Canis lupus familiaris: one gene and its partner. The protein of the gene in region 1 interacts with the protein of each later gene in a pairwise test. Links are inferred from orthologs where the notes say so. Each region holds a gene or a part of one and is shown in the gene's direction. Other genes may lie near its edges.

Region 1 (4,209 bases):
GTGGTGGAAGGGGAGGAGGGCGGGGGTGGGAGTGAATGGGTGATGGGCACTGGGGGTTATTCTGTATGTTAGTAAATTGAACACCAATAAAAAATAAATTAAAAAAACATCCTGGCTGTTGTACTGTAGTTTTGCAAAATGTCACCACTGAGGAAAACAGTAAAGAGTACACAGGAGCGGGATGCCTGGAAGGCTCAGTGGTTGAGCGTCTGCCTTTGGCTCAGGGTGAGATCCCCAAATCCAGGACTGAGTTCCACTTTGGCTCCCTGAGGGGAGCCTGTTTCTCCCTCAAGTACATAGGAGCTCTTGTATTATTTCTTATACCTGCATATGAATCTACAGTGATCTCAATAAAAATTTCAGTTTAAAAAAAAAAGACGGGGGGCAGCCCCGGTGGCTTAGCGATTTAACACCGCTTTCAGCCCGGGGTGTGATCCTGGAGACCTCGGATCGAGTCCCACGTCAGGCTCCCTGCATGGAGCCTGCTTCTCTCTGTCTCCGTGTCTCTCATGAGTAAATAAATAAAATCTTAAAAAAAAAAAAAAGATGGGTTTCTATGACATTCCCTGTGTTCCCTCATTAGTGAGGACCTTTGACACATGGACAGGTAGGTATAGTGGAGAGCATCTTCTCATATAACACAGACCTAGTACATTGGAAAGATTTTGTGACAACTTGCAAGTGTCACAGAGCCAAGAACAGAAGCCAGGGCTCTGGACACCCATTCCTTCATGCAACTATTTATTTACATGAGTAACTAGATGCCTCAGAAACTTAGAATCTAGGCCCTGGGCAACACTCAGACCAGTCTTCTCATAGTAGAGAACACACAGCACAGAAGGTCCTTCCCTGTCCTCAGTGAAAGAAACTACAGGGTCTCTGGTTGCGAGCCTGAAGGCAAGGAGGGAGACCGACAAGGATTAAGGAGGCCAATTAGGTTTGCCCACTTCATGAGACTGCTCAGACACCAAAGCTTCTAATGCTCTTCCTAGGAGGAAAGTGAAGTGTTTGGCTTGACCAAGATACCAGGATTAAAACTAACAGTAGGGGACCCTGGGTGGCGCAGCGGTTTAGCGCCTGCCTTTGGCCCGGGGCGCGATCCTGGAGACTCGGGATCGAATCCCACGTCGGGCTCCCAATGCATGGAGCCTGCTTCTCCCTCTGCCTATGTCTCTGCCTCTCTCTCTCTCTCTCTCTCTCTCTCTCTGTGTGTGACTATCATAAATAAATAAAAATTTACAAAAAAAAAAAAACTAACAGTGTAAGTATAGTGATCTGTATAGTGATCTGGGCGCGGAGAGGGGCTCAGGTCAATGCTGTGGGGTTGAGGATTGCAGGAGCTGGTGCCGTCCAAGACTAAAGCCGCAGAAAACTACAACTCCCGGCGTCTCCCGCGGCCGCCGCAGTCCCGGCGGTCATGTGACGGCTGCTCACGTGTCCCTGCCGCCGGCTCGGGTGTGAAGCGCTGTAGGTAGGTGGCAGGAGGACTGTGGAGGGTGGAAGCGTTCAGTGTCGGGGCCCCCGCTGCGGTGGGGTCCTGCCCACTCCCTGCAGGGCTCCGAAGCCAGGCGTCCTCGGCCTCCCGCCCGCCCTCGGCCAGCTTGGCCCCGCCGCAGCCCCGACCGACTGACTCCGCCTAGTGCTAGGCCCGGATCGCGTCCCAGAGCGCCTTCCTAGCTTACCTCACCGCAGCCCCTTCGCCTTGCTTCGGGCCTGGGCATCCTACCCTCCGGGTACGCCCTGACCCACCTCCCTATGCAGCCCACCCCGCGTATCTCTGGGATCCAGCCCCCCGGCTGTACAGGGAACCCGCTCCGATTGGGATCTCCGGGGGCCCACGGCAATGGTTACAGCTCTGGCCTGAGCCTGTGCACATCAGGCTTCTAGTTCTGGTTCTGCCAACTACCTGCTGTGACATTAGTCTAGCCCTTTTCCTTCACTGGGCCTGTTCCCCTGACCTATCTGGTGCTCCCATTCTGTGAGTTAGCGTCAGAGCTGCTCGGTTCCCTTCACTCTGCTGACCAGCCCAGAAACAGCTCAAACTCTTCCTCCTGCTGACAGCAGGTTTTAGGTGAAGTTTTGAGAAAGAATAAATTGGTGCCATAGAGGGAAGTGAGGAAAATCAGATCCCAGATCTTTGGGGAGAAAGACCTGTAAGGAGCAACACACCCTCCACCGTAGGCCATCAGGTGGAAAAAGCAGGTAAGCTGGGGGTTGTGGAGCTGAGGATGTTTTGAGGAAGAAGAGCTGAGAGCTCTTGGACCAGTGCTGAGACTTCTGTGTCTGAGATGTAAGCGGGGTGAAAGCGGAGGTCTCACAGCTCTGGGAGTGCTGACTTTGCAAGGCTCTCCTTGGAGCCAGATGGAAAGCTGGGAGCCCAAATCTCTACCTCCACTACTCACAGCTTTGATTTTTTTGGCTGAGTTACTGGTTGGGTAACAGGTTGCATAGGAGGAAGCCCTGTGGCATCAGATTGATATTTCTGGACTTGGAGGCAGCAGAGAGGTATTTCCTCTGGAACTGGGTCCCCTGGTTGCATCCTTGGTGACAGTTGTCTGAGAGCGCCCCCACTCTTCCTTTTCCCTCTCACGAGTGTACGATTCCTACCTTTGTTCAGCCATCACCAGAAGGAGAAATAGGAAGCATCTGACTACCTACCTAAGCTTCTCATTAGCCATTCTAAATGTATTGAGGGCATCAAAGGGATGTCTCTCTGATGGGCGGTGGTTAGATCAGTGCTGCAAGAGAAGAGTGAGAATTAGCCTTGAGTTTTGAAGGACTTCGAAGGCTATGCAGAATTTAGAGTCTGGACCAGAAAGAGGTATGTTGGACTGTAATTCACTGAAATAACCACAGTTGGGACGCATAGGTGGCTCGGTGGTTGAGCTTCTGCCTTAGACTCAGGTCATGGTCCCAGGGTCCTGGGATCGAGTCCCGTGTCGGGCTCCCTGCAGGGAGCCTGCTTCTCCCTCTGCCTGTGTCTCTGCCCCTCTCTCTCTATCTCTCTCTCTCTCTCTCTCTCTCTCTCTCTCTCTCTCTTTCTCTCTCTCATGAATAAATTAATAAAATATTTTTTTAAAATACCTACAGTTCTAGCTGAGGGCTGCTCTTGTGCAACCTTGTGAAGTGGAAACAGGCTGGGAAGCCAGATAAATTTAGATCCAAATCCTGCTCTTCCTCTTGCTAATATGTGACCCTAGGTCAGCTATACAATCTCAATGAACCTTAGGACCACTGTGGTATGGGACACCTGGGTGCCTCAGTGATTGAGTGTCTGTCTTTGGCTCAGGGCATGATGCTGGGATCAAGTCCCACATTGGGCTCCCCGGGAAGCCTGCTTCTCCCTCTGCCTATGTCTCTGCCTCTCTCCATGTCTCTCATGAATAAATAAATAAGATGTTTTTAAAAAGGAAAGAAAAAGGACCACTGTGGTAAGGACTGAATGAGATAAGATATGTCTACGATACTCCTGCTTCTCTGTAGTGCTATAGTGTTAGTACCCCTCTCTTTAATGTTTATGTCTTATTGACCCTATGGGTCTGTAAGCCTGAAGCAAGCAGGATTTGCAGAGGATGTATTTCTGTCTCTGCCACCCTTCACTGTGGTACCCACTGCAGTGTTCTGCACAGAGGGACACCTGGGTTTGAATCTCAGCCATCTGACCTTGGGAATGTTGTTTCAGCTTTCTGTGCCCATCTCAGGATAACGGTAGTACCTGTCTCCCATCTAGGTTGAAAAGAGCTGGAGCTCACAGGCCTCCTAGGATAATAGTCCCAAACAGGCTGGTGCTGGTCTCCAGCTGAAGGCGTTCCCTCAGCTACCCAGGAGATGTGGTTGTGAGGCCAAATCCACAGACCCTGCGAGAAGAGGGCTCCCAGGGCCATGGCCCAGGTCAGCATCAACAGTGACCTTGGCGAGTGGGGCTCGAGCACGGACTCTGGGGAGCGGGCCCGTCTGCTGCAGAGTCCCTGTGTGGACACAGCCCCCAAGAGCGAAGGGGAGGCCTCTCCTGAGGGCCTGAGTAGAGGCACCACTTCCACAGTGGGGGCCATCTTTATCGTCGTCAATGCCTGCTTAGGTGCAGGGCTGCTCAACTTCCCCGCGGCCTTCAGCTCTGCAGGGGGTGTGGCAGCTGGTGTCACGCTGCAGATGGTGAGTATGCTGGCCCTTAGGGTGGAAATGCAGGTCAGGTGCTAGGCCAGGGCTCTG
Region 2 (4,224 bases), on another chromosome or scaffold:
CCCTATACCTCCAGGGCACACACATTGGAGGTCCAAGTCCTGTGGACACAGTTCCCCTGGTTTCACCAAAGCTGGTGAGAAGCCTCAGAACATGGCTTTCTGCATCTGGACAGGATTCAAACTCAATGCAGAAGACTCACAGGATGAAAAGAAGGGGTAAAGGGGTGAGCTTGTTCATCCAATGCCCTCTGAATATTACTGGAGTTGCCAGATGGCCACCTGATGATTTTATTTATTTATTTATGAGATAGAGAGCAGGAGCAGGGGGAGGGCAGAGGGAGAAGCAGACTCCCGGCTGAGCCAGGAGCTGGATACCGGCTTGGCTGGATCCCAGGACCCGGGATCACGACCTGAGCTGAAGGCAGATGCTTAACCGACTGAACCACTGAGGGGCTCCTCCCCAAGGTGTTCTAATTACTGAGCATCTATAATATATTGGAGTATCTGACAGTGCTAGCTCCCCATCCTTGTTCATTTTCAGATCCTGTTTGTTCCCTGAATAGCCTTGTTTATTTTTCCATTTGAATTTTAGGCGGGAACAAAACAGGGTGGTTTAACATACACACACAACCTACTGATCCTATTATTACTTTCATGGGAATTATGTTAAATTTATAGTTGTATTTAAGGAGAATTAAGATGTTTATATTGGGCCTTAACTATCCAAAAACATCATTCATCCCATTATTTGACTTAGTTTTCCTATCTGTAAAATTGGAGTAATAATACGAAACTCGTAGGGCTGTGTCTTCAGAATTAAGTGAGGAAATGCTCATGTTAAAAGTTGCAAAAATGAATTCCTGCTCTGCGCCTTGCTCGCCTACCAGCTCAGGCTCGGCTACTGGACTATTCTGAACCTTGGTCCTCCCATTTGCAAAAAATGAGGATAATAACAGTATCTGCTTCATCAGGGCTGTAATCGAAGTCAAATTAAAAAGACAAATCGAGGGAGGATTCACGCCAAGGGCTCGGAGCACCGCCTGGACCCTAAGCGCTCAGAATATTAGCCGTTCCTCCCAAACAACAGGCTATCCCAGAGAACCGCGACGGAAAGGACGGGCTTTCTGGGACCCACCCAGGGTGGAGGGCTGTCGGGGAAACGCTTCTTTCCGAGAACCGACCAAGCCGCCGGTCGCCGGCCCCCCGCCCCCCCGCCCCGACTCCGTCCGACGGCAGCGGGACTCGAACCCGCGACCCCGAGCGAGCCCCCGCCCCCCCCGGCTCCCGCCCCGCCCCCGGGGCCGCGGCGCTGCCACGTCTCGCGCGTCCGGCTCTGCGTGCGGGAGGGGGCGTGGCCAAATGCGGGCCCGCCCCGGGATCGCCGTGCGGCCCCGGCGTGGCGGAGCGCCGTGACGCCACGAGGGGGCGGGGTCGAGACGCGCCCGGAAGTCCCCGGGGAGGGGCGTGTTGCGTATATCCGGCGAGTAGCTGGCGGTCCCGGGTGCTGCTGGGCTGTGTGCTGTGAGGGAGGGTCGACGCCGCCCGCCGCCCGCCGCCCGCCGCCCGCCGCCGCCGGAGGAGCAGCCCCGCCTCGGCCGTGAGCAGGGGGGCTGCTGCAGGGGAGGGAGCCGAGGGCCGGCGGGGCTGCCGCGGACGGCGGGGAGGGTCGGGGCGGAGGCCGGCGCGGGCGGAGTTGGGGGGGGAAGTGACACGCAGGCGGTTCTGCGGGGCCGCGGGGCCGGTTCTGGGCGGGGATGGGCCGCCCCGGCCGGGCCGCCGCGTTCCGATAGCGCCCGGGGTGCGGGCCGGTCGGCCTTACTCGGGGTCCCGCAGCCGCCGGGCGGGTGACCGTTGTGTGTCCCGTGCGCCCGGGTTTGCGGAGCGGTGGCCCGGCCCGGCCCGGCCCGGAGAGCCCCTAGCCTGGGCGGGCGTCCTGATGACTGTGCGTGGCCTGAGCCCGAGGGGGAATCGCGAGGCCCCGGAGGCTGTGCCTTGGCCGCGGCCCCGCGGGTCGCAGGAGGAGCTCGGGGGGTCGCTCCGGGGCGCGCCCGGCCTCCCCGCCTTCGGCCCTGAGTTCTCGTCCGCGAGGCCCGGGTCGAGCCGGTATTTCCTCCCCCCACCTTCCTCTTTTCTGCCCTCTCCGGTGCGTGGGAAAATTCCTCCGCGCGTTTGTAGAAGTCCGCGCTGGCCGGGGTCGTAGCCGAGGCCAGGAGCGCGCTTGCGAGGGTTGGCGCCCCGCGGCCCTCGGCGGGAGTCTCCCCCTTGCTCTCGTCCCTCCTCCGTCGGCCTAGGCCGGGACTGGGGGCTTGACCTTTACTAGCTACCCTGCAGCTCGGCACAGCTTCTTAGCCGAAAACCTGCTGTCCCTCCCGGGTCGGCCTGGAGCGGTGTTTCAGAGCCGTGACGAGTACGTGTAGGAAGTGGGAGCGTGTGCAGAAAGGAACGTACACACTGTTAGTGGCTGATGGTCGGTGTTGCCTGGTGCCCCTCTTTTTTTTTTTTTTTAAAGATTTTTATTTATTTATTCTTGAGAGACACACAGAGGCAGAGACACAGGCAGAGGGAGAAGCAGGCTCCTCGCAGGGAGCCCGACGCGGGACTCGATCTCGGGTCTCCAGGTCCACACCCTGGGCCCAAGGCCCGCGCCCAACCGCTGAGCCACCCGGGGATCCCCTCCTCTTCTTTATCTACTTCAGTCCTGAAAATTTGCGAATTTTAATTTGGGGTACATTGGCAGTGCTTCTGTGGTAGTTTAGAGTTCTTAAGTTTTAGAGTATGCTGATTTGCCATAAGATGCCATGAAGTGCCTTAAGGTGATAGAGTGGATCAAGGACAGGGAATAAATAGAGTGCTAATTATCAAAATACCATCCATGGGACACCTGGGTGGCTGCATGGAGCCTGCTTCCCCCTCTGCCTGTGTCTCTGCCTCTCTCTCTGTGTGTGTCTCTCATGAATAAATAAATACATCTTTAAGAAAAAAAAAGTGTAAAACTACTCACGAGGGGTACAAATCCTAAGGTCTCAAGGATGGAGGAGCCTCAAAGCCATTTCTCTGACTTTGAGGGGCAATACAACGCAACGCTTTGGGTCCAATAGTTTTTATGATTTTGTTAGCATCACCTGAAGAGTTTCTTCAAGCACTTTTCCATAGATCGTTTTGGAGGGAAGAAATATAGGACTTTTATTTATTTATTTTACATATTTTATTTATTTATTCATTCATGGGAGACACAGAGAGGCAGAGGGAGAAGCAGGCTCCCTGTGGGGAGCCCGATGTGGGACTCGATCCCAGGACCCCGGGATCACGACCTGGGCAGAAGGTAGATGCTCAACTGCTGAACCACCCAGGCGCCCCGAATTATAGGACTTTAAAGCAGAAGTGTCAAGGGAAGATAAATTGGAAAATCAGACCAGCTCAGTTCCCGTGAAAAATTCCTCAAAGGAGGGTTTTCCCGGGCAGCCCCGGGTGGCTCAGCAGTTTAGCGCCGCCTTCAGTCCAGGCCTTGATCCTGGAGACCCGGGATCAAGTCCCACATCGGGCTCCCTGCATGGAGCCTGCTTCTCCCTCTGCCTGTGTCTCTGCCTCTCCCTCTCTCTGTCTCTCTCATGAATAAATAAATAAAATCTTTTTTTTTTTTTTTTTAAAGGAGAGTTTTCCCATTGTCACCCTTGGAGAATTCATTGGGTTTGGAAGAATTCTAAAATGATGTGGTAAAACTTTACGGTATCGACCACAAACCAGTGTAGTACAAGTAAATATGTAACAATGGGTTTTAAAGGAGTGCCCGGAGTGGGAGTGATCTTAATCAGACAGAGGTCTCTGTAAAGATGAGCCACGTTTCTCCAAGTTGTAGACTGAGAAAAGTAGGGAAAGATGCCTGGTTTGGGAGAATTGTAGAGAAGAGGCACATTGTTCCTTTACTTACCTACAGTGGGAATTTAAAAGCAGGAGCTTTCTACGTGTATTTAAGTCATTAAACTTTTTAAAGTGCTAAGTTTCAAGACAAATTATCTAACATGCTAAATTGGTTTCTGCCAAAATATATCTTAATGTTACTGAAAAAAGCAAAAAAAAAAAACAAAAAAAAAAACCCCACGACCCCATAGTATCTTTTTATGAAAGCTTTTGCCTTAGACTCTCACCCAAACTCCCAAGCCTCATTTGGTCTTCTGTGATAAGAGCCGTAGAAAATAAGCATTAAACAGTCCCAAAAGCCAATAGGTCAGGCTTGATTTAAAAAAAAAAAAACAATCAAAACCCAGTAATTGGACAGAAAAAAAA

The links.
Region 2: the proteins of SLC38A7 (region 1) and SAR1A interact in binary tests that used the Homo sapiens proteins (3 or more experiments, as listed by UniProt). The link is inferred for Canis lupus familiaris from reciprocal best matches to the Homo sapiens genes SLC38A7 and SAR1A.

What each region holds. Positions count from the first base shown.
Region 1 is NC_049223.1:57,267,989-57,272,197, forward strand, and holds the start of SLC38A7 (putative sodium-coupled neutral amino acid transporter 7), read left to right. Parts: upstream 1-1,409; 5' UTR 1,410-1,471; intron 1,472-1,477; exon of another isoform or gene 1,478-1,733; intron 1,734-1,743; exon of another isoform or gene 1,744-2,202; intron 2,203-2,617; exon of another isoform or gene 2,618-2,821; intron 2,822-3,730; 5' UTR 3,731-3,882; coding exon 3,883-4,152; intron 4,153-4,209. UniProt on the Homo sapiens protein: Symporter that selectively cotransports sodium ions and amino acids, such as L-glutamine and L-asparagine from the lysosome into the cytoplasm and may participates in mTORC1 activation. The transport activity requires an acidic lysosomal lumen.
Region 2 is NC_049225.1:21,863,862-21,868,085, reverse strand, and holds the start of SAR1A (GTP-binding protein SAR1a), read left to right. Parts: upstream 1-1,424; 5' UTR 1,425-1,537; intron 1,538-2,161; exon of another isoform or gene 2,162-2,347; intron 2,348-4,224. UniProt on the Homo sapiens protein: Small GTPase that cycles between an active GTP-bound and an inactive GDP-bound state and mainly functions in vesicle-mediated endoplasmic reticulum (ER) to Golgi transport.